Linked DNA regions of Mus musculus. The protein of the gene in region 1 interacts with the protein of each later gene in a biochemical or structural test. Links are inferred from orthologs where the notes say so. Each region holds a gene or a part of one and is shown on either strand. Other genes may lie near its edges. The genes, in order: Bnip2 and Arhgap1.

Evidence for each region.
Region 2: the proteins of Bnip2 (region 1) and Arhgap1 form a complex in vitro, tested with the Homo sapiens proteins (2 studies listed by BioGRID). The link is inferred for Mus musculus from reciprocal best matches to the Homo sapiens genes BNIP2 and ARHGAP1.

What each region holds. Positions count from the first base shown.
Region 1 is NC_000075.6:69,994,694-70,007,809, forward strand, and holds part of Bnip2 (BCL2/adenovirus E1B 19 kDa protein-interacting protein 2), read left to right. Parts: intron 1-727; 5' UTR 728-784; coding exon 785-834; intron 835-1,424; coding exon 1,425-1,492; intron 1,493-2,387; coding exon 2,388-2,564; intron 2,565-4,400; coding exon 4,401-4,577; intron 4,578-6,149; coding exon 6,150-6,252; intron 6,253-7,286; coding exon 7,287-7,418; intron 7,419-8,685; coding exon 8,686-8,772; intron 8,773-8,875; coding exon 8,876-8,974; coding exon of another isoform or gene 8,975-9,128; exon of another isoform or gene 9,129-9,306; intron 9,307-9,612; coding exon 9,613-9,648; intron 9,649-12,349; coding exon of another isoform or gene 12,350-12,370; coding exon 12,371-12,422; 3' UTR 12,423-13,116.
Region 2 is NC_000068.7:91,663,100-91,675,569, forward strand, and holds the end of Arhgap1 (rho GTPase-activating protein 1), read left to right. Parts: intron 1-5,097; coding exon 5,098-5,229; intron 5,230-5,386; coding exon 5,387-5,473; intron 5,474-5,629; coding exon 5,630-5,728; intron 5,729-6,086; coding exon 6,087-6,194; intron 6,195-6,285; coding exon 6,286-6,362; intron 6,363-6,552; coding exon 6,553-6,630; intron 6,631-7,046; coding exon 7,047-7,175; intron 7,176-7,366; coding exon 7,367-7,470; intron 7,471-7,612; coding exon 7,613-7,801; 3' UTR 7,802-9,226; downstream 9,227-12,470. UniProt on the Homo sapiens protein: GTPase activator for the Rho, Rac and Cdc42 proteins, converting them to the putatively inactive GDP-bound state. Cdc42 seems to be the preferred substrate.

The DNA.
Region 1 (13,116 bases):
GGTCTCAAGTGGTTGTGAGCCATCTCTCTAGCCTCCCTTCATGACTTATACCGTACCTCAGCTGTCTTACTCTGTCAGACAGAAGGTGAGTCAGTGCAGAAAAACCAAGATTAAACTTTGGGGCATGACTTAAAATAGATAGTTGCATATGTGACAGCATCAGTAGCTGGAGCAGTGAGCTCTACAAGAGAGGCATGGTACAAATGGGAAGTACATCAGAAATCAGTACAGTTCCTCCACTGGACAAGCGCCTGAGTAGACTCTAAGTGACCTAGAAGTGGTGAGAAGGAGCTGTAGACACTGCATAGCACTGGACTCTGGTGAGCATGCATGTACATGGAACATGCTAGTGCGCCTCTAGTCCTACCCCTGTGCAGAGGGCAGACTCTGGTGAGTATGCATGTACATGGAACATGCTAGTGCGCCTCTAGTCCTACCCCTGTGCAGAGGGCAGACTCTGGTGAGTAGGCATGTACATGGAACATGCTAGTGCGCCTCTAGTCCTACCCCTGTGCAGAGGGCAGAGGCTGATTTACTACTCTATGCGAGAGACACCATTTATCTGCAGTAGGTCAAGTTTCATAACCAGACTACTGAACTAAAGCCGCTGGGGCTGTTGGCACGGAGATGTGAGCTTCAGGAGAGATTGCTGCACCTTTGCAGCAGATGAAGGGCAAAGTGGAAATGAAACTGTTGTTCATCTTTCTTCCTCCCCTTTCTCCCCCAGGACCTTGGCTGCCTGGATTGCCAGGAGCTGGAAGTTGACATTGAGTCTAGGCTGAGGATGGAAGGTGTGGAGCTGAAGGAAGAATGGCAGGATGAAGATTTTCCAATGTGAGCAGTACTTTTTATTAAACGGATTTAGAACAAAACATCAGAATTTCTTTAATGAAATGTCAGCTCTTGAATGTTGGACTTTTTAAAAAGAAGGTTCCAAGTGATCACTGGGTACTAGGAAATGAAAGTTATTTTCCACCAAATATGTGGCTGGTTATCTTTTCATATTTGTCTTAATCATTTCAACTTCAGGTTTTTAGGGAGCTGTGCTTTAAGCTAAAGTCTTTGGTTTTGGAGGAATGGGCTGTCAGCTCTCTGCATAAATGAATAGAGTGCCAGTCATGGTAGTGTCTACTTGTAACCCCAGCACTGTGGAGATGGAGACCAGAGCCCCAGGCCAGCCTGCCAGCTAGCCTGGACTATTTGATTAATCCCAGGCTGGTGACAAATGCTGTCTCAAATGGTAGACAGCCCCTAAGGAACATCTGAGATTATCTTTGACCTCAACACACACACACGCACAACAAGCTGGTTTGTAGAACTTATGAAACATAGGTTTAGTCCTTATAACTGTGACACTTTAGTGGATCTTTGTCAAAAGAATTGCTTTTAATTTCTGGGTTAAAGAGCTTGTCTCTGTCTTCTAGACCTTTACCAGAAGATGACAGCATTGAAGCAGATACACTAGATGGAACTGATCCAGACAGACAGCCTGGTAAGACTTTGTGGTACTTTTAAGTACATTTCTTTCTACATATATATATATATATATATATATATATATAGAGAGAGAGAGAGAGAGAGAGAGAGAGAGAGAGAGAAACCAACAACATTGAGCTTTTTTTTTTCTATTTCCTGATAGAGAGGGGTCAAAGGACAAATTTTGGAATCCTTGAGAAATTTAACTTTATAAAAAATAAACCTTTGGTTTTCAAAATTTTTACAAAGAGCAAAAGACTATTTAATAAATGACTATAAAGTCGGCCTCTGTTGTTTAAAAGGAAATTGGTACATTCTTGATCTCTTGACAAAGAAGCAGTAGTAAATAATTATTTTAAGAAGAGACAGTGAGTGCCATTCTCCAAGTCCACTCAGACATCTCATGGTACTTCTAATTAATTTCCTGGCCCGCTACCCTCTCCTGGACTCTGTGGACACTGCACTCAGGTGCATATAACCACACAGAGACACACATGCATATACATACTTAAAAATAAATTGGGAATGGAGAGGTGGCCTAGCAATTAAGAACACTTGCTGCTCCTGCAAAGAACCCAGGTTCAGTTCTTAGCATCCACATTGTAGCTCACAGCCATCTGTAACTCCAGTTCCAGTTTCCCTGGAACTCTTCTGGCCTCCTTAGGCACTGCACAAAAGTGGTGTACAGACATATATGCAAGCAAAACACCCATATACATAAAATTAAAACAAATAGAATAAAAATGTATCTTCTTTTAGAAAGCAGCAGCGGTGATCACAACCAGGTTTTATTAATGAATATTTTGGAATTTTCTTTTAAATGTTTTTCTCAAGAGTGAAGTGACTAAAATGTTCCTCTGTGAAATGGAGCATCTGAGTAGCCCAGTCTTCTTCCTTGTTTCCAATTTCAGGCTCCTTAGAAGTTAATGGGAACAAAGTAAGGAAGAAACTGATGGCCCCAGACATCAGCCTGACCCTGGATCCTGGTGAAGACTCTCTGTGGTCCGATGATTTGGATGAAGCTGGAGAGGTTGACCTGGAAGGCTTAGACACCCCATCAGAGAACAGTGATGAGTTTGAGTGGGAAGGTAATTCACTCTTTTTATATGAGCTTTGTGAATGAATGTTTATATTGCATAGTGTTTACCATGGTGTTCTCTTTAGGAGAAGTATGATATGGCCAAATCTTAACATAAAGCCTGCTAAAATCCATTGAAGGATTTTGTTTGAAATATGTTATTTTTTCTGCAGTTCCTAAATTTGTTTCTAAAGTAGAAGATTCTGAAAGTACTTGAAGTTTTCAAGACTAGATTATGAAGGTAGCTTTCTTTTAGTTTAGTTTTGTTTTTCCTTACTTGCCCAATATTGTATAGTTTTGATTTTTCATAGTTGCTTCCAAAGTATTGCCTAATATTCTAGTATATTCTTGTCAGTCAATCTGGGGGCGGGGTGGGGCAGGGAGTCCTCTAAAGAGACATATTAAAAAAATATGCTAAAAATCACCTATGGAGCTGGGCATGGTGGCACATCCCTTTAACCCCAGTCCTCCAGAGGCCGAAGCAGAAGGATCTTTTGAATTCCAGGCTAGCCTGGTCTACGTAGTAAGTTCAGTGACATCCAGGACGACATAGATCCTGTCACAAATAATAACAATAACTCTCTAAGCACCGGCAGAGAAGGTGCTGAGGAGGCTGTACTTAGAAAGCTGCGCCTTGAAGTAGTGAGTGCTTAGCCCCAGTGTGGCACTGCGATTGTAAGCAGTTGGTGTGCAGAGGCATTGGTGTATGTTTTGTTTTGTGTGCGTTCTAGAACTAGGCAGTAGTTGATTGTGAGATTTAGACAGATATTAATAATCTTTTTGTTTCATCTTTAAAGTGAATTTTGCAACAAAACTGTACTTAAAAGAGATAGACAATAGGTAATGAAGAGTGATACTCTGTAGCTTTTGTTCTTTTTTTTTCCCCTTCCCTGTTTTACTGGTTCAATAAGCAGCCCAGTAAGAAGCAATCTTTTATACAGACACTGAAATAGTTTTCTGCCTGTGTGTTTTGTCTCTTTTCTCCTTAATGCTGCTGTAGTCATTTCCTGGAAGGATATTTTCCGTTAACAGCTTTGTCTTGGAAACAACTAACATGCAGTAGGTTTCCCTTCCCCCCATCTTTTGGTAAGGACTGGCATACTAAAGTTTTAAAAATCATTACTTCATTTTAAATCAACTAACCTGCAATCTGCAAACATAAATTACACATAATCATTGGAGCTTTGGCTAATGTTAATTTACCTAAATTTTTGCATGTGTTCTTCAGAAGTACATGTCTGCTTTATAAAACTGATCAAAGGGAAAACGATCACTGAGTAGTTAACCACTTTCTATCTTGTATTACAGTGTTTTGTAATTAGTGTATGTGCTAAAACTGTTGGCTCTCGGATAGTTACTAGAAGTAAGATGTATTAGTAACTCTGATGGACACTGTTGTCCTGAATGAAATCTGGAAAGGCATGCGAGGTAGTAAGATTCCGATTGCTCTGTCTTTCCTACGCCTGATGTAAATGTTGCACTGTAACTTGGTGCTTTGTTGAATTGGGCAGTAGAAAGTTTAAGTAAACTGATTTTAAAGACATAAATTGGCCTTAAGTAAGAACAAGCCTTTTCTTGTTATAAAGGTGATGATGTCAGCTTATATATTGAAGATTCTCTGTAAATAATTGTTATGGTGGTGTGCACCTGTACTCCCAGATGCTTGGACACTAAAGCAGGATCACCTGAGCCCACAAGTGTGAGGCGAGCCTGGGGAGCCCAGAGCACACCAGGAAGGAAACAGAAAACACTTGGAGTAATCTCGATAGGAAAGTGGTTAACATACAGTTTTGATTGTTATTGTGTAAATAACAGTTTGTGATTCAAAAGCCTTTTATTTTAACAGATGATCTTCCCAAACCCAAAACTACTGAAGTCATTAGGAAAGGCTCGATTACTGAGTACACAGCCACAGAAGAAAAGGGCGATGGACGCCGCTGGCGCATGTTCAGGATTGGAGAGCAGGACCACAGGGTGGACATGAAGGCGATCGAGCCCTACAAAAAAGTTATTAGCCATGGAGGTGAGGCTTAGGGCGGCCCTCTGGGTCTTTACATGCAATGTCCAAAATCTAACGCTGTCAAAAATGTGCCTAGACATAGTAGCTTGTTTTGAAAGAAAAAGAAAGATTCTCAGACATTTTGATATCAAAGGTTTAATACTTTGTTTTAATTTTTTTTAATGTAGATGTGTGTTTTGCCTGTATGTATGTCTAGACACCACCACTTGGGTATCTCATGTCTGTCTCCATGGAGGCCAGAAGAGGGCAGCAAATCCTCTGGAACTGGAGTTAGAAAATGGTTGTGAGCTTCCATGTGGTTACTGGGAATCAAACTTGAGTCCTCTGGAAGAACAGCCAGTGCTCTTAGCTGCTGAGCAGTCTCTCCAGCCCAAGGATTAGGAAGGTTTGAAGTAAAATGATAAAAGGACAACTAAGAATTACTTCTATAGGAGCTGGGAAGATGTGTCCGCAGTAAGATTACTGGGTGCTCCTCCAGTGGCCCAAGTTCAGTTCCCAGCACCCACATGATAGCTCTCAGCCATCTGCAACTCCAGTTCCATGGGATTCGGTACATTGTTATGGCCTCTATGGCCGCCTACAAATAACTTTTAAACAGTATTTTTACATGTTTACTCTAAGTTTTTAAAGTAGAGTAGTTTCACCCTGTATGTTTACTACTCAAAAGAAGTTAGTTTCTTGAACCCTTTGCAAGCATTTACATGTGACTTATCTTAGTTTACTTAACTAATACAGTTAGATGACTTTCAACAAAAGCTTGTATGTCTCTCAGTATATTTAAACATTTACATATATGCACACATAGGTATAATCCACACTCACATAGAACATTTAACTTTAATCTCTACACCTTTCCAGTGAGTCCATCCTCTCTAATAAGCACTGCTCACAATCTAGCCCACAGCCAGCTTTGCCTCTTAAGGAACGCTGTGTGACTGGTCTCAGCGTGCACTCCTCGGCATTCAGCATGCTTCTAAGCAGCTACATCCATGCCATGGCTTAGCTTATTCTCTAACACTGAATATTTCATGGCCCAGGTAAACTGTGTGCATCGCTACAGTGTTGGCTGTGGAGTTGTTTGCAGTTTGGTATGTGACTGAGATGCTGTTGTGTTGACACAAGCCTCCTCTTGGGCTTTGGGAAGCTTGACTTGACTTCAGCTTTTCATTCACAACTCACCTAGCTCAGTGGAGCACTGTTTGTTTCATTTTGGAGATACACAAAAATTGTCCATTCCCCCTAGGAGACTTGCAGGTCAGTCAAAAACTGTAAGCTGTCACTCTGTTATTCTGACCATACAGTTTAGGAGTTCTCCTAGGTGCTGTGCAAAATAGTGTTCACATGTTCCTGGTCAGAGTGCAGTTCACTCTGGATAAAATGTGTTATAATCTGGCCAGATGAGCTTTTTTTATAAAATTGTTCCTACTTAGTTTGCTTTGCCAGCTGCATCTCTTGGTCAGCCCTATAGTCATTGTACACCTGGAAGCTCTGCAGTCACATATACAGAGTTAAAAATGATAATCCTATAGAATAAAGTTATGCCAAAGACTTTTTACCCTTCTTTCTTCTTCCCAGGATATTATGGGGACGGCTTAAATGCCATTGTTGTATTTGCTGTCTGTTTCATGCCTGAGAGTGGTCAGCCTAACTATAGATATTTGATGGACAATCTCTTTAAGTAAGTATGGCTTTGGGGGGCCGTGTTCAAGATAGTTTCTCTGTGTCTCCTTGGCTGTCCTAGAACTCACTCTGTAGCCCAGACTGACCTTGAACTCATAGAGATCTGCCTGCCTCAGCCTCCTGAGTGCTGGATTAAAGGCATGAGCCACCACTGCCTTCCTAAGGAACTGTATCTTAACAAGATGTTTGAACAGAATTCTGAACTGATTAGACTCATAATTTATGCAAGTCTTGTGAAAACTAGAAGAAAGAAGCCAGCTTGATGGTACAGGCCAATAATCAGCTATTCAGGAGGTGAAGGGAAAAGGATCACAAGTTGATGGCATGTCCACACTCTATACAGATCAAAGTTAGGGTCAGCCTGGGCAACCGAATGAGACCTTGCGACAAAATAAAATGTCAAGAAGAACTGGGGATACAGTTCAGTGACTGCTCTGGCCTGGCATGCATGCATATGTGTGTGTATGTATGTGTATGTGTGTGTATATATATATATTCCGTCAGGCAATAACAGTAACAACATATAGAAGTCACCCTACTTCTGAGTCCCCAGGTCTTCATTTTTTAGCATTATGGAACTATATTTTCCAACTCGGTGGAAAAAAGTTGCATTTTAAAATTAGTATAGATTATCTCATCCAACTTTAGTATTTGGAAACATTGCTTAAAAAGGTAACTGACCATCTCAATATTATATGACTAAATTACTTATATCCCTGGGACTTGACCTTGTGAGCTGACAAGCCACTCTTTTTTCTTGGCTTAGTGAAGTTTTTCATTTTGTACTGTGAAGCTCTCGAGTATACACAGAGAGAAGCCGAGCATGCAGTGCCTAGTCCCACCTGTCCCCTGACCACACACAGTGCCATGCAGGCTGCAGGATTTGTTGTGACTTTGTTTTAAATAGTCCCACCATCACCTACTGCTCGTGCTTGCTCTTACTGTGGAAGAGGGGGGGAACTGTGTTTATTTGGGAGTCTGTTCGGTCCTGAATGGTGATGTCTAAGACATATACTTAATTTGTTTTTATAGATATGTTATTGGCACTTTAGAGCTGTTGGTAGCAGAGAACTACATGATCATTTACTTAAATGGTGCGACAACTCGAAGAAAAATGCCCAGTTTGGGATGGCTCAGGAGATGCTACCAGCAAATTGATAGACGGTGATGTAGACCTGGCTGAGAGATTTTTACAGTAGTTTTATTAGATTAAAGTATTCTTTCTGTTGCCATTTAAAGATAACATCAATTTCTTCGGTTTTACTTGTCAACTTCTGAATGTTTTTATTTTTTTAAAGATGGCCCTTAACAATGTCATGGCGAGTAACTTGAGTCTGCTTTTAGTAAGAATGACTTTAATTCTTCAAAACACACAAGATTGCTCTCCATTCTTCCTTATGCCGTTTAGAACACATTATTTAGTATTCATCTTGGAAAAGGTTGGACAATGTCCCTCTGCTGTGTACTGTCCTGTGGGGCCAGTGCAGGTGCACAAGTTCTGTGTAGACGTCAGGAGTCACTAAGCTTACTACTCAGATGCTGGCCTCTTTGTTGCTGAGACAGTCTCTAGCTCAGACCTCGAGCTGATAAGCCAGGTACCTAGAGAGTTCCAGCACTGAGATTATGTACCACACCATTCTCTTCTTTTTTATCTGGGTTCTGGGGAATGAGACCTGGGTCCCCATGCTTACACTGCAGGCACTGGACCAACTAGGCCATCTCTCAGGTTTCCAGCTATAGTTTTTTAAAACAATCACTAAAAATGTGTTATCTTGAGACTCATTTGTCCACACCAATCAAGCAACTCTAATCTTGCTAATGGTTCAGTGTTGCCTTCGTTGATTCAAGTGGTTTACCCTGACTTGTTAATAGGGTTTGTTTTTTTCCCCTAGGAAAACATGTTCACTATCTTCTGTGATTGTTTTTTTTTTTAATACATACAAATATCTAAAAAGAAGCTTTTACTTTATAGTGAACATTTTTAAATTTCAAAGTGTTATTGAGTCTGACTCCTGGCTCACTCCTTTGGTTTTCTCTGCCCATCCCCCTTACAAGCTAGTGCTTTTCATGATATTAGAAGCAAATGCCACTTGTTCCCTAGATTTGAACAGAAAAAGATGGTTTACTTTCTTTCATGTTCAGTATCAGCTTTCCTTGCCGGAGGAGGAAATGCTAGCAGGCATTTGAAAGCAGACAAAGTAAGCCATGAACTTGGACAAATTAAATAAACTCTATTTCACAGCATCGGAGGGATGTTTAGAACTCAGGAATGTATTTTCTTGTCTTTAGAATGTTACACTTGAATGAAAATTGTTGGTGACTTTTTTTTCCATCTATTTTGTACAAATTTGCATTATACTTATTTATATCTAACTTTTTTGTGCTATAATTTGTAGAAATTTTGTATAATTTTTTTTCTTTTTGTCTTCAGATTAAGGAAAAACCTTAAGTCTCTAATCATTGTGCACCCCTCTTGGTTTATCCGAACACTTCTGGCTGTTACACGACCATTTATCAGGTAATTTTCTGAGTGTCCATTTAAAAAAAAAGTATCTTGTATTTAAATGTCAGATTTATGAGTCAGAAGTACGGAGATAATTGTTTTGTGTTTTCTTCCCCAGTTCAAAGTTCAGTCAGAAGATCAGATACGTCTTTAACTTGGCCGAGCTGGCAGAGCTTGTTCCCATGGAGTATGTCGGCATACCAGAGTGCATCAAACAGTACGTCTGCCCTGCTTTCCTTCCCTTCCTGGTTGTGGGCAAGGGGAATGCTTTTCCCTCTCACGGTATTCCAGAACACAGGGTTTGTAAGGAACCCCACAGCTTCCCCTCACAGCACCATGTTTACAGAACTGGAGGTGATGGCCACTCATGAGTCCTTCTGTACGCTAAGTGCTGTTTACAGTCCGAGAGATGACTTCCTGAAAAGGCAGTCCTGTAGAGTAACTTTTCTGCTCGACGTATTACACTCTCACATGGAGTGAGTTTATCATATTACTGAAAGAACTCATTGCTAAAGAAACGAGTTGTTGATTAAATCAGCTTGGTCTTAATATTTTCCAGAAACTAGAATTTTCTGTTTCATCGTTCACTTCCGCCTGCCTTCTAAGAGACTTGGAGAGACTGTTGGTTGAGCAGTGGCATCACAGTGCTGTGGTGCAGTATTTCTCTGACTGTTACTGTTGGTCTCAGGGTTTAGGCTTAAGTATTTCCAAACCAGATTTACCAAGTTGGTTTGTAGTCACTACATCATGTTAAATGTTAGCATTTCATATTTGTGCCTACACAGTTACACGTTCAGTCTTTTTTTTTTTTAATCTCAAAATGTGCATTTACTGAAATAACTCTTCCCTACCAAGGTATGAAGAAGAAAAGTTTAAAAAGAGACAAAAAAGGTACATGCACACCTTGACTGGGTTGCATCTAGACTAGTCCATTTGCATTGCACAGACTAACCCTGCTGCTAGTTGGTTAGCTTGCAAACAGAGACTAGCATTTGTAAATATAAATGTCGCCCAGAGCCGAGGACAGGGCAAACCCCAAGCTCCTCGTGCTCAATATGAGCATGCTTAACGTGTGTGTCGTATCAGAGCTCTCCTGCTCTGTGTGCTGAACCCAGAGAAGTGACTGGGAGCCCTGGCTAAAATCCCAGGCCTTTGAAAACTTTAGCATTTTGCTTTTGAAGTAGATAAACAGACATTTTCAAGCAACAGCTTATTCCCTTGGGGTCGATGATTATATTTGCAATGCATATACTCTTTGGCTAACCAACATTGATTTTCTCTATATGCTTAAATAGCCTGCTAACCAGTCAAACTCTACATGTGATAAAATACCTAAATTCAGTGTACCATTTAACAGTTAAACACTCTGCTTTCTACTTGAAATTTAATTTTGAACACTTCTGCTTTGAGTGTAACAACCTTTCATTTGTTAATGTCTTAGCATAAAGATGAAAGGCAGAGCATAAAATAGTTTATCATTTTATATAGTAGTTTAGAAAAGCCTTGGTCCTGATTTATTCATAGTTTAGTTCGGGAGTTTTTGTTTAGTTTTGGAGCTGGTCTTACTCCGTATCTCAGGCTGGCCTCTCTTTCACAGTCTTCTGCTTCAGTATCCAACTGTGAGCTTGTGCTTCTCCTCCACCACACCCACTGTTAGTAGATTTCATTTTATTTTTAAATTGTAACAACAGCATTAGCAAATGTCACTTACTATGATCTTAGAGACTAAGATGAGAGACGTACATATGTTACTTTAACCATCTGTGGGGCCAGTTAGAATCTTTGCTGGTGTAGTCTTAATTTTGAACAGTGTGATTCTTTTGGTGAGAATTCAGCTAACCATTTAAGAGTTATTTTTGTGTAGCACTTTCCAGTTTAAACAAGATTCACTAATCTTGTGTAAAGCAGTATGTAACTAGTAGCTTGGGTAGTAGGGTCTGCTTCTCTAGGCAGTGCTGTGTATATGCCTGACAAATGGATGAAACTCAAAATAGCATCGATAATTATAGATAGTAGTTGGAAGCCACCTACTTTCTAGACTTTAAAATGACTTACTGGGAGTTGGGGCTGGCAAATACCTTTAATCACAACACTTGAGAGGCAGAAACTGGCAGATTCTGTGAATTGAGGGCAGCCAGATCTACATAGTGAGTTTCAGGAGCTGGGGGGGGGGGGTTGAGAGAGGGGGAAGAGGGGACCCTGTATATATAAATGCTTCTGATGAGGAAATGTGCTGGTAATACCCCTTTTAAAAAGGTTTTAGTATTTTATCAGCTGTCATAGGTAATCCAGGCATCACGTAAAAAGTGAAACTTAATGTTTTACTTTTGTCATTTGAAAGCATTCACTTAATCTATGTTCCCCTGCTAAAAAAAAGAAATGTAGTCATTTATCTTGCATTGTTTCCCATTGTGCTTGTGTTCATTCCTCAGTAGTGTCATTACTGATGTCTTTCAGCCCTTAATTCATATAAAACTTCCTTTAGTATTAAAAAGATGATTTGAGAAATATTTAATTATCTCTAAATACAGAAATATGTTTAAGATAAAACTGGGGGGGAGGGTTAGTTGTGGCAAGCATCTGTTAAGTGGAACTTGGACAGGCATTCCTAGTATTTGCTAGGAACTAAGGATTGAGGTATAGTCCTTTTAAATGTTTTACCTGTTTTCTTTCTGAAATGTGGTGTCCTGTGGCCAGGCAGCTGTCATGCTTCAACAGTGCCTACAATTACTTCTTAATAGTAGTTCATACTTTAAAAAATCAGTTGTATATTATAGGCCTTAACAAGAGTATTAGCTAATCTTTGATGCCAAGATAATATATTTTTACAACAGTTCTGGCCTTTTTACTTTTGATTGACAGATATTTAGGTAATTGTAGGTATGGAAACAGGTGTGAAAAAGAACCATCCTGCTGTGTACTAGTGTGACTTATATATCTCACACCAGCCATTCAAGCTACTACAGAGTCAGTTCTGTTACATTATCTTCTCATCTCCATGTGCCTACATTTTCTTAGTACCTCTGGCCAACCAACCATTAATCCAGTGAGATTTTTTAACTTGTTATAGATACTTCTGAATGTTGAGTCCATATGGCTTACTTTCATAATAAATGAACAGCATTCACACACAGTGTACCAGTGAATTCCAGAAAATAGTATAGTTGCTATTCTGTAAGACACAATTTGGTTCTGGATTTTAAAAATGTTAATTGGTCAGTTGGTGATTTAAATGACACATTTAAATTTCAGTTAACAATCATTTTTGAGAGAGTTGATTTTTCTGTCAGCAGTCCTACTCACTAAACTTCTTGCTTTAGTGGAATTATATCAGTTATCAGCTCTCAGAATGTTTATGGCTGTGAACATAAAGTATCCTGTGGTCTTAAAAAAAATAGTGACAATGTATTCTTGCCAGTGTCCTGTTGCTTAGAAAAATTCTGTTCCTTTTGGGAAATGTTTGCTTGATTTTTTTTTTCTACTTATCTGTTTTGTTTGCAAAGCTTTGTTTTTTTAACGGAATCATCTGTGCTAAAAGTAGTTTTCAGAAAGAAATCATCCAGTTGCCAGTGTCATGACTGTTTTTAAATAGCTGTGTTTTTTCATTGAACAGAGTTGATCAAGAGCTTAATGGAAAACAAGAACCACCAAAAAGTGAGCAGTAAGTTCCGTGTCCAGCCCGGACAAGAGAGAGCACCGGGGAGGCGGGGCTGTAGTGCATCCTATTGCACTCATGGCTCATGTGTTTATGTAATCGGTTGCAAATTTTACTTGACTTCTTTCCAAATGGACTCTTGTACAAGGGACTGTTCACTGCTGTCATGGTTTGCAACTCTTGAATTTAGCTCTTTAATGACTAATTATATTGTAATCATTTTATATTGCTAAATAGTAAAGAGCTACACTTTATAAAAAGCAATTTTTACATTTGTTTATTTGAATGATGCATCTTCAGTAAAGTATTTATATACATAAATGACAAAGGAAAGAAATAATATATATTTTTTATGTTGGGGGCAATAATTTTTAGTGTGTACCTATCTCGTGGATGAATATATACACGTAAATAAGACCACGATTTTAAATGTAAAGTGCATGTAAGACTTTGTTTTTGTAAATGGTTGGATACATTTCCTGGGTAACAGGCTGGGTTGTCCTAAAGCAGGGACAGGTAAATGACGCCAAGAAGTACCTAAGGTCATGCATGTGGTCGAGACAGTAGTAGCAGCCTGAGCTTCTCCTCCCTGAAAGCACATTGTTTCTTAATGTGGTGGAAGGGCAGGTGAGTGAACAACTTGCTTTCCTCTCTAAAGATGTGTTAGAACCAGAACTAGAGATTTTGAAAAGCTAGTAGTTAGG
Region 2 (12,470 bases), on another chromosome or scaffold:
AAGAGCACTGACTGATCTTCCACAGGATCCTGGTTCAATCCCCAGCAACCATGTGGCTGCTAACAAGAGTCTAATTCCAGTTTCAGGGGATCTGATGCGTTCTACAGGCGTCCACAAGTCCTGTATGCATATGGTACACAGACATTCCAGCCGGCAAAACATCCATACACATAAAATAAAAACCAACAAGGTCACACCTGATCCTTCTAATCTTCCTCAAACTCTACTCTCTGGTGACTAAGGATTCAAATACATGAACCTGTAGGGGCCATTATCCTTCAAACCACCAGTGTTTGAAGGAGAATGGTTGAAGCAGGGTAGAAACTGCTGTCAGTGTGCTCAGAGTGGCCATCATGTCCGTTTTCCTGGCCAGTTTAAAGTGCTCTCTAACATGTGACGTATGTGCACCACCTACAGTAGCTCCTTGACACCCTGAATGTTGTGCACGTGAGGATTGTAGTGATCTCGGGGACAGGCTTGAGGACCACAGAAGAAAGGCTCAGCTGGCCCGTGGTGAGGCAGAAGCTCATTCCTTGTGCTGTGTCTATAAGGCCTCGGGTGCTGTCTGTCTGTCCATCTGTCCGTCCCCCACCCCACCCTGTGACTTCTCTTTCCTTGGCTCCTTAGATAGAGCAGGCAGAGTCTGGTTGGAGGGCCATCATATGTCCAGCCAGGAATCCTCACCTTAGAGTTCAACCTAAGGACGCTGAGTTACAAACCCCCTCTAGCTTTTGTGCCATGCCTGGTGTACCAGGTAGCAGACTTGCGGCCAGGTATTAGGTCCAGTGAGGGAAGTCCTAGGCAGTTGGAAAGCACCTTGGTTTTAGGGGCAGTTGCTGAGGAAGTTGTGCCTATCTGGGGTTTTCCTTTAGTCTCAAGAATCCCTGGGCAATTTGCAGCTGCCTGTCTTCCTTCTATTCACAGACACAGACATACATCATACGCACACCACACATACAGACACACACACATCACAGACATACACCATACACATACTGTACACACACAGACACACACCACAGAGAGAGAGAAACACACTATACAGATACACATCATACACACTACACACATAGAGACATACACTAAACAGATACATACCATACACACACACCACACACAGACAAACACAAACACACACACCTCATAGACATACTCACATCACAAACACACACACACACCATGCATACAGACACATAGAGACACACACTATACAAATACACACCATACATACTACACACATAGAGACATACTCTACACAGATACACACCATACACACACACACCACACACAGACACACACACACCATACATACAGACACATAGAGACACACACCACATTTATACACACCATCTCAGACACATACACATACACCACAAAGACACACAGGCATATACCACACATATACAGACACACACACACACACACTTACACTCACACAAAGACACATACCGTATACATCACACACACAGACACACATCATACACACATAGATACACGTCTCATACACACACCATCCTATTCCCTACCTCCCTACTACTACTACTACTACACACACACACATACTGATACACACTTACCACACACATCACACACAGACATACATACCACATACACACCACACACACATAGACACATATCTCACACACACCATCCCATTCCCTACTTCCCCCCCACACACATACTGACACACACCACACTACACACATCATACATACACTACACACATCAAATACATACCATACACACACACACACACACACACACACACCACACACATCACATACCACACACACATCCAGACAGATAGACAGACACATCATCTCACTGCCTACCCCCCACACACCCTGCCTGCCTGGTCACCATCCCTGCTGAGAGCAGACTGTGCTTCCACTGGCTCTGTGTGCCCTGTTTTCAGTCCTGTTACATCAGACTTGGCTTTCCCCACTCCTCACCCAGATCTAGGAGGTTGAAATGGAAAATACCAGTTGAGCTAGAGCTCTGTATTTTAACTAGCTGTGTGCTTGGAGGTAGCTCTCTGAGTTCTGTTTACATGATGTCTTCCTCAGAGAGTTGTTGTGGGTAATAATGAAATCTAGCATGCATAGTTTTAGAGGATTGCAATTTTGGGAAGTTAAAAATATATAAGTAGTTATTCAGGAAAAAAAAAACTGTAAATTTATGAAGTCTCACAGACCTGTCATCCAGAAAAAAAACCACTGTATTCATTTTTATGTCTTATATAATTTTTTTCATCTTCCGTGTCTACAACATTCTCAGAGACATTCTTTAAAACATGTTATGCTGGGTGGTAGTGGCGCACGCCTTTAATCCCAGCACTTGGGAGGCAGAGGCAGGCGGATTTCTGAGTTCGAGGCCAGCCTGGTCTACAAAGTGAGTTCCAGGACAGCCAGGGCTATACAGAGAAACCCTGTCTCGAAAAACCAAACCCAACCAAACCAAAAACATGTTATTTAGCAGGGTAGTGGTGGTGCATGATTTGAATCTAATCTCAACACTTGGGAGGCAGAGGCAGGAGGATCTCTGTGAGTTCAGGGCCAGTATGGTCTACAGAGTGAGTTATAGAACAGACAAGGGTACACAAAGAAACAAACAAAAACAACAACACCCCCCACAAAAAACCATTATTTAGCTGGGCATAGTGGGTACACACCTTTAATCCCAGCACTTGGGAAACAGAAGCAATTGTACGTCTATGAGTTCTAGGCCAACGTAGTCTACATAAGAAGTTCCAGTGCGGGGCTGGTGAGATGGCTCAGTGGGTAAGAGCACCCGACTGCTCTTCCGAAGGTCAGGAGTTCAAATCCCAGCAACCACACATGGTGGCTCACAACCATCCATAACGAGATCTGATGCCCTCTTCTGGAGTGTCTGAAGACAGCTACAGTGTACTTACATATAATAAATAAATAAACCTTTAAAAAAAAAAAGAAAAGAAAAGATTTAAATGTCTTAGCTTAAAAAACAAATAAACAAAAAGGCATTAAAAAAAAAAAAAAGAAGTTCCAGTGCAGACTCTTAAGCAGTGAAACTCCGCCTTTCCTTTTACTACCAAAACCCCACACAAAACATGTTGTTTTTTCATCTTCTGCACTAATATGCACATAGAAAAGTAACAAATAGTGTACTACTTTTTTTTCATCTTCAAGGCAGCTCTCATTTTGTTTCACAAGCTGACCTTAAACACAAGGGCTCAAGTGCCCTCTTTCCTTCAGCCTCCTGAGCATCACTGCACCCGGTTGGTTCCTTGTGAATCTGTATCTGATGATGCCTGGCCTCAGTCCCAGCACTTGGGAAGCTTATGAAGGAGGATTTTGAGTTCCTGGCATGTCCTGAGCTACAGAGTGCGACCTTTTTTCAGAAAAACCTACATACAAAATAAAACAGCAACTCCATACCTATCAGTGTCACCCCATCCGCACCCCACTTCCAATTGGCTCTTCCAGTGTCTGCCTCAGGGCTGACCGCTGTTGTGATGCCTGACTTCACAGCTTAGCCCTGCCTGTAGAAGCATCCTGTGAGATAGTCTATTTATAGATGTCCCATGATTTATTGAGCCAGTCTCCTGATACTGGACAATTTGCTGGCTACTTAGTTGTTGTTTTTTCCGTAATAAAACTCTGGAATGAACAGTCTCCTACAAGAATGCTTCTACTCCTCTGTTTCCTCAGGAAAGAGTCCTCAACATGCTTTTCTGTGATCAGAGATGGGGTGCGCTGCCCAGCTTCTGATAGGCATCTCTTTATTGCACACAAAGGTTACTGCATGTATCCATGGATGAGGGTGTCGTCCACTTTACTGTCATCTTTGCTCCTTTCCTAAATGCAAATGCCATCGTTTTATGTGACAGCCCTTTGCCCTTTGTAAACTTCCGGTGTGGAAGTGTGAATAAGGGCTCAAGTATTCTTGGTCTAATACTGGTCAGAATCTGGTCATCTAGCATTAGTACACATATGCCCTGCCTACCTGTGCTGGTCCAGCTCTGCACCCGGGGACTAGTCATTAGGCCTCTGACTCTAGGGCAGGTCGGTAGTCAAGCCACTGGGCACTCTCTCAGACTTCCCTCCTTTTGGATGTTTTTAGCATTGTGCCTGTCCAACATAGACTGGCTTCCCTACTAGAGCCAAGGAGCTGATTGATTATCTGTCTTCTAAGAGGTCTTACCCTAGGCTCTTCCCCCTCCCTATTGTTCATTACTTCCAAACTTTCCAGTGTGCTCAATGTGAGTATGTGTGTGTGTGTGTGTGTGTGTGTGTGTGTGTGTGTGTGTGTATGTTGGGGGTACATACCCTACTGTGAGCATAGGGAACATGAGGCGTATGGCTTTGTGGTCCATTAAGAGCCTAGGGATGGGAATAGTTGAGCTTCTGGTCTTCCTGATGTCCTTTCATAAACACAGTATTTTATAAACTGTACCACAGATCATATAAAATAGGCAGAACTGTTCCAAGGTCTAGAGTGCAGTCTTGGAGTTGGTCACTTCACTACTAGGTCCTACCACAGCTGAAACCTTGGCTAAGCACTTGACCTCTGCAGATTGCCCTCATTAGTAAGATGTGTTAACTTTAGCCTCAGTTGTTCCGAGGGAAGAATGAGGTATTAGAGGTACTTGGCAAACACTGAAAGCTTTTTTCCAATATCAGTGACTGTGCTTGTTACTGCCTCATGGAGATTCCAATGTCAAACCCTGTCAACTGTGCTTACACAGCCCGGTCTGCAGCTCAGGGCCCCTGACTGCTGCTGCTGCTGCTCACAATGAGGGCTTTTGCATACTCACTTCTGCCTTAGGCCCACCCTCTACCTCCTTCCTGGAAAGCGGCTGTGGATTACATAGCCAAATGATAGCAGGGAGGGTTTGAGGAGAAGGAAGCCTTGATGCAAGCACTGGTTTCTATGGTAACAGGCCACACCTGTTGTGCAGAGGGCAGGTCTGAGCAGGTCTTTTGTGTGTATGATGTTAGGTATTAAGCTTGTAGCTCACACATGCTAGGTTGTGTATGATGTTAGGTATTAAACTTGTAGCTCACACACTGCTCTACCATAGAGCCACAACCCCAGTCCTGGACATTTCTCTTGAAGGTATTTGAAACACACATTGGACCAGTATGTGGAGAGTGACTACACACTCCTGTACCTGCACCATGGCCTGACCAGTGACAACAAGCCCTCCCTCAGCTGGCTACGGGATGCCTACCGAGAGTTTGACCGCAAGTGGGTTGGGACATAGGGATGGGCTGAGCCTAGGGTGGCTAACTCTGAGCTCTGGGTGGTTCTCTTAGTCAGGAACTTACTCCTTATCAATGGAGGCAGGACCCCAACAGCTCTGCCCCTTCCTCCACCATTCACAAGCTTCCTACTTGGCCTGCAGGTACAAGAAGAACATCAAGGCTCTGTACATCGTGCACCCAACCATGTTCATCAAAACTCTGCTTATCCTCTTTAAGCCTCTCATCAGGTGAGCAGGCCACAGGTGGACCACTGAGTTTTTCATGTACCCCTCACACAGCAGGCAGATGGCCAGGGTGGCCAGCTTGGGGTGAGCCTGTCTGCAGGGAGGGCCAAGGCCTGCCGTGAGACCCAGCCTGACCCAGATCCTTCTTTTTACCTCCAGTTTCAAGTTTGGACGGAAGATCTTCTACGTGAATTACCTGAGTGAGCTGAGCGAGCACGTGAAGCTGGAGCAGTTGGGGATCCCTCGCCAAGTGCTCAAGTGAGACAGCAGGGTGGGCCCGAGAGCTGGGTGCGCAGGGGGAAGGGGGGACTTGTGGGTCCACTGGTCAGCTGTGTGCTTGTGTTGTTTGGGAGGCAGAGTAACCTGGGTGGGAGTCAGGAGTCTGGGGAAACTGGAGAAAGGCAGTGTCAAGATCCAGAGATAGATGGAACCCCATTTCTGTCACAAGCTGTTGACTAAATCTCTTTAGAGTGTTTTTTGCTGCGTTACATCAAGTGGGACTATTTTGAGGACATAGGAAATAATGCGTGTAAAATCACACAGTGAAGACTTGATAAAGTTGGCTACAAGACTACAGAGCCGGGGGGCCTGACCCTTGTTCCATCTGCTCCCCTAGGTATGATGACTTCCTCAAATCCACACAGAAAAGCCCTGCAACAGCTCCCAAGCCCATGCCACCACGGCCCCCCCTGCCCAATCAGCAGTTTGGGGTCTCCTTACAGCAGTGAGTATGCTAAAGCCAGGCATGTCAGGCTGGGGGTGGGGTGGGGGTGGACCAGTATGCAGAACCCCAGCTCACCTCTTTGCTCCCTCAGCCTCCAGGAGAAAAGCCCAGGCCAGGACCCCATTCCCATTGTCCTCAGGGAGACCGTCGCCTACTTGCAGGCTCACGGTGAGTGCCATGCAGTCCAAGGCCTGCTGAAGCCAAGCCACCTCGTCACCCAGCTGCCCTTGAGAAACTCTGGGCAGGGCATAGAGAAGTGCGCTCCCAATGACCCTTCTTGGAACTCCAAGACTGATAGGGTAGGGAGGAGCTCCATCCCCCAGAGCGCTGAGACTCACCAGGCCCCCTTGGTTTCCAGCTCTCACCACTGAGGGCATCTTCCGGAGGTCTGCCAACACCCAGGTTGTCCGGGAAGTGCAGCAGAAATACAATATGGGTGAGTGGGCTGTGTGTGCACATTGATGGGGTCTCGGTGTGTGTTTGAGAAGGTGAGGCATGCTGGGAGTTTGAGGGCTGTTAACATGTCCCAGGTTTTCTTCTGGCCAGACGTTTCTGTGTCCTTTGGTATGGCCACATAGGTCCTACTTCTGCCTGGACGATCCAGGTTTGCTGCCTCACGTTCAGGGGCTGCAGCCTTGGGTTCAAGCTCATGTAGAGGAGTAACTGTCCTGTATGACAGTGACCTCAGGCTCTGGGTGGCCTGAGTCATCCCTTGTTACAGAAGAGAAGAGGCAGATGTATGGGGTGTCCTGGGGAAAGGCAGCTTGGGCAGTGGACAAGGACAGAGTGAGGCATGGCCTGCTGGCCCCTGGCTTGCCTAGTGCTCTCTCAATCTTTTTCTTCCCCATGAAGGGCTGCCGGTGGACTTTGACCAGTACAACGAGCTGCACTTGCCCGCTGTCATCCTCAAGACATTCCTTCGGGAGCTTCCTGAACCCTTGCTAACCTTTGACCTGTACCCCCATGTTGTGGGCTTCCTCAGTGAGTTCTCTCTTTCCTCCTCAGCTGTGCAAATCCTTTGGCACTGAGCCTTCTCTCGCCCTGCCCCGCAGGCTTGTGGGCCTGAGCAGCTCCTAGGAATTTCAGTTGGGGTTCCCCCTGCTAGGCTCATCATATCAAGGTTTCCAAAGCTAGTCCTATGCCCTTGTAACCTAGACCTCTATTCTTCACAGATATTGATGAAAGCCAGAGAGTGGAAGTGACACAGCAGGTTCTCCAAACTCTGCCAGAGGAGAACTACCAGGTGCTTCATTTCCTGACTGCCTTCCTGGTGCAGGTGAGATGTCCCCTGGCTTCCTCAGCCCACCTGGTGAGGTGACGGGGAGGAGATGCTCTCATTGCTTGGATGCTCTGGAAGGAGCTGCTGGGAGTAGGAGGCAGAGGCCAGAGATTCTAGCTGCAGCCCTTTCCTTCCACAGATATCTGCCCACTGTGACCAGAACAAGATGACCAACACTAACTTGGCTGTAGTCTTCGGCCCTAACCTGCTCTGGGCTAAAGATGCTGCCATCACCCTCAAGGCTATCAATCCCATCAACACCTTCACTAAGTTCCTCCTGGATCATCAAGGGGAATTGTTCCCCAGCACAGATGCCCAGGGGGTCTGAGCTCACCACCTCCAGCCCCTTCTCTGGCAGCCCGAGTTGGACTTGTCCTCCTGGCATTAACCTTACTGGAGTCCAGGGCTCCTGCCTAGGAAGGGGCCCTGAAGCCCCAGAAGATGGAAGTTGGAGCCTACTAACTGGGCAGCCCCTCCTGTCCCTCTGCCCGTCCCACCTTACCGGCCCTGGAGGCCTCTGTTACCGTAAGACATTTTCTTTGCCTTATACCTCTCACTGCCTCTCTGGTTGCTGGGCTTGGTTCTTCTAGGATTTAGCCACAGTAAACCTTTTCCTTTTTCCTGCCTGTTTCCCTGGCGAGTGTAGAAGACTACATCACTGCTGGCTGTGCTGGTAGCTGGGGCTGGTCCTCTCTTTCCTGATTGCTAGGAAGTGAGCATTGGCCTGGGTGCAAGTTCCCTGTGCCTGCCCTCCCTGCTAATAGGGATGATAAGACCAGAGTTGGCCTGTCACTTCTGCCTCCTGGGTCTGTTCTTCCCCAAGTGGTACTGCCCCCAGAGTGTACTATTCCCTCATTTCTGCCACACTTGGCACTTTGGATATCAAGACTCAGAATCTGAGTGTCTATTGAAATGGTCCTGTCCACTCCCAGGGAGAGCCGTAGTGTCTGGTAGGATCAGTTACAGCAGTCCTGGCCCTCCATTCATTCTCATGTGCACAGATCTTCAGCCAAAGGCTATAGTAGGTCTTTCAGGTGTGGAGTCATTTTGATCCCTGTTCTAGCCAGAGATACCAATGTCTCTCACTTTCTACCTGGGGACTCTCGGAGAGTCAGAAACTCAGAAGCCCTGAAGACTGACAGAGCTTTTACTAATAGATCACCCCTGCTGGATAGGTTCTAGCAGCTTCCTTAGGGGAGTGTGGTGGCCACAGGGCCTCTTGTCTTTCAGAAAGCTGAGCCCCAGTGATGATTGGTAGCTTTCATTCTATTCCTAATGAAGCCTTGTGACTCTTCCCGAAGTCCACTGCCTAATGACAGGGAGGTACCTGCAGTGACCTTGCCCTACAGGTGTGGCTAGGCATGACAGCTCCAGAGGTGGTACTGGCTACCATGAGATCTGTACTGATGATCTTGCAGCTGAGGCTGGGCCTGACCTCACTGGCTCTTTCTTGCACCACTGTTGTAGCAGGTCTCTGGTGCCACAAGTGCTGCTGTCAGTCCCCAGCCTCACACCTGACCCAGCCTGGGTCACTCTGCTTTTGCCCACATTTTTGTATCAAGTGTTGCTACACTCCATTTACTGAGGAGCCTTTGGACCTCTTGTTTTCCTCCTGCCCGGTCCTGTCAGTCTGTGGCAGGGGACGCTCTTACTGTGAATCTAGTGTTCACATTTACCACGATTTCCTTGGCACCAATCATGTATTTTACCGTTTGCACTTTTTGTATTTCAATAAAAATGTAAATGAAAAAAACCCATTTGGCTGTTTAGGAAGTAAGACCCTGAAATTCACAACCAGACAGGAAGTATGGTATAGTTGAGAAAGAGAGCTTTAGGGAGTCCCCTCCTTAGTCCATCTGCTGTCTGCTAAATTTTCTCGGGGAAATATGAACAAACCTGTACTCCAGATAAGGTACCAATTAATGTCCAAAAAAAAAAAATCAGTCCAAGTCTGCTTGAGGATTGTGATCTCAAGAAGCTGTGTCCCAGAGGACTCTGTGGGAACTGCACAGATGGGGTCCCTCCTTTAGTCAGCCTTCATCTTCTGCACACTTCCAAAATCACATGCAACTGGGGCAGAGTTATATAGAGTATCTAGTTAGGTGACCCTGGCTAGCCAGAGTTATATAGAGTATCTAGTTAGGTGACCCTGGCTAGCCTTCTAAAACTATGCAGGTCAGGCTGGCCTAAAACTCAACAGAGATTTGCCCACCTGAATGCTGGGATTAAAGGCATAAGCCATTCATAGACATAGTCTTAGTTGGGAACCAATCCTGAATCTTCCCGGTAAGAGCCTTTTGTGCGTTTGCGAGGGTGGGACTTTTGAGACAGGGTTTCTCTGTGTGTAGCCTTGGCTGCCCTTGAACTCAGATCTGCCTGCTTCTGTGACACCATGCCCTTGCTTGGTTTAGAAGGGTTACTTTCAGACTGGCAGAACACCTGGCAAGAATGTAGATCTCATCCCGAAAACTAGAAAAGGGTTTGTTTTGAGCCTGGAATTTAGAGGTCTGCCGGGATCAAAGGTGTGCATCATCACATCCAAGATATATCTTATGTGGGTTGTTTTTTGAGACTTGGTCTCCCTCTGCAGCCAGGTTGGTCTCTATTCTCTTTTTTTTTTTTGGTTTTTCGAGACAGGGTTTCTCTGTATAGCCCTGGCTGTCCTGGAACTCACTTTGTAGACCAGGCTGGCCTCAAACTCAGAAATCCACCTTCCTCTGCCTCCTGAGTGCTGGGATTAAAGGTGTGCGCCACCGCACCCGGCTTTGTTCTGATTCTTTTGAATGTAGTGATTGCAAGCTTGAACCATCACATTTGACTTTTATGTTTTGCCCAAATTTCAGTTGTCAAGGGCAGGTTCCAGATACCTGCCTATTGCTATCAGGTCATGGTGGCCTATGGTGGCCCAGGGTAGCTGCCTAGCCAGAGCCACTGGTTACAGCAGTGTTAAGATAGTGGCTGTAAACACTAGCCCCGAGCTTCAAGGAGGCAGTTCCATTGCACAGCTGTGGCCTTGATTCAGGTGCCTTGAGACACAAGGCTTTGATGGTTTGATTTCTTGTAGCAATGCTCAGTGGCAGGCTTGGTGACCCAGGAAAACAGCAGAGCCAGCCAGAGCTGGGGAGAGCTGTTGACTTGTGTTGGGATCCTGGCAGGGCCTTTACAGTTACTCAGGTGCTAGGAAACAAAACCTTGGCAATAAGGTCTCTCAGGCAAAGGGTGAAGCAGACACATTGTTGGCCATGGAGCTGCTGGAGACTCCAGCCAAAGGAGGCTCAGCAAGGATGTTACTACCATTGCTGACCCAGATTGGACAGCTGTGTTGTTTGGCTGTGTGTGTTATGGTCTGAATCCGATGCCGTTTACAAGGGCACCCAGGCTTTTACTGGCAAAGTGGGCTGACTCCATTGTTCTCAGCTCTATTCTTAGGCTGATGGTCCCACTGTTGTCTTTAGGCTGGACTTGACTTGGGTGCAGGGGACCGAGCCTACACAAATATCTTGTTGACTTTTGCATCCAGAACTATGTATACACTGGCTCTGCAGTGTTGCAGTGTGCACTAGGAGGCAGATGTGTATCCATAGCGGGGGTGCATGTGTGTACATCAGACCTAATTATTCGGCACTTCTGAGAGTCCACTGCACAGACCACGCCTCCCCACACTTCCCTCATTTGCTCAGCCACAACCTTGTTGTGAGGTGTGTTGCATCCTCTGCAGCTTGTCCTCCCCTCTAAGGATTTTATGTCCTGCAGGTAGGGTAGTGAGTGTGCTATGAGTGTGCTAACAGCAGCCCACCCTGGAAGGAGATTTTACAAGAGTTCTTCACTGAATATTCAACCACATAGCCCTGTCTTGGGGGAACAATATAAGGGTCTAGAGAGTCAGGGCTGTTAGTTACTTGATCAAGTCTCAAGACTGAAGCAGCCTTGAGACTCAGGACTCTGAAATTCAGGCTCCACCCTTCGCTCATGAAAGCTGTTGGTGGCTCAGTGATGCAGAGGTGGGACTGGTGAACTAGCTGTCAAGACATTTGGAATAGGAAGCTATGAAGTACAGAAAACTTTTTATTGGAAATCTCTTGATTATATTTCCAGGTGTAGCTCTCATTTCCCAACAAAGCACTGGAGGGGCCTTACCTGGTCCTAGCCTGAGCTTGGCTGCATTGGTCTAGAGAGCATCCTTCCATTGTGTAGGGCTGAAGGGCAGAGGCTACCGTGAAGGATGCTCTGCTCAGCTTCCCTGGCCTCCTTCCTAATAATCTAGGACATAAAGGCTGCTGTCTGCAAAGGCCACTGGCTGAGCCCTGCAAAGAACCCGTGCCCTCACCCCCCTACAGTTCTGGCTCTGGGGGGTATATCTGGTTTAAGTAGGCCATGAGTGTGCCCCTGACCCAAAGGCTGCAATGGCATTTGGCCACCACCGCTGGGCACATTTCTCTGTGGCAGCAAAGCATGCACAGGGGAAAGGCTCCAGTGTTACATGCAGATTTCTAACAAGCAGTTGCGAGCCACCTGCTCCAATGCGTAACAGCTGCTGCCAGTGAGGATCCAGGGACAGAGGAACAGAGCAGGCTGGCAGAGGCACTTGACTCACTCAAGCAAACCTGAAGGTTTACGTCAACCATAAGCTCAGCTTTGGTTTCTTGAAGGGGAACCAATCCAGCTTGTAAAGCCAGGGCCTCGTACAGACTCTGGGACTAGAGGAAGGAGGAAGAGCTCCCTAGTCCTGCTCCAGGCTCAGGAACTTGAGCAGCAGGACACACAGTGCTCCTGGGGCACCGTGTGCAACACAACTCTGAGGAGTCACCACACTGAACATACCCGAGATTTCCTGGGGTACGCAGCATGCTGGGGAAGCCTAACGCCTGCACATGTCCATACACGCAGCCTGAGGGGGCCGCTTGGCCTTTGCCAGGCCATTCCTGATCTCTCCTTAGATGTGACAGGAGTATCCTCACAGGTACTGAGCAATCTTCACGGGAGGCCGACATCCCAGA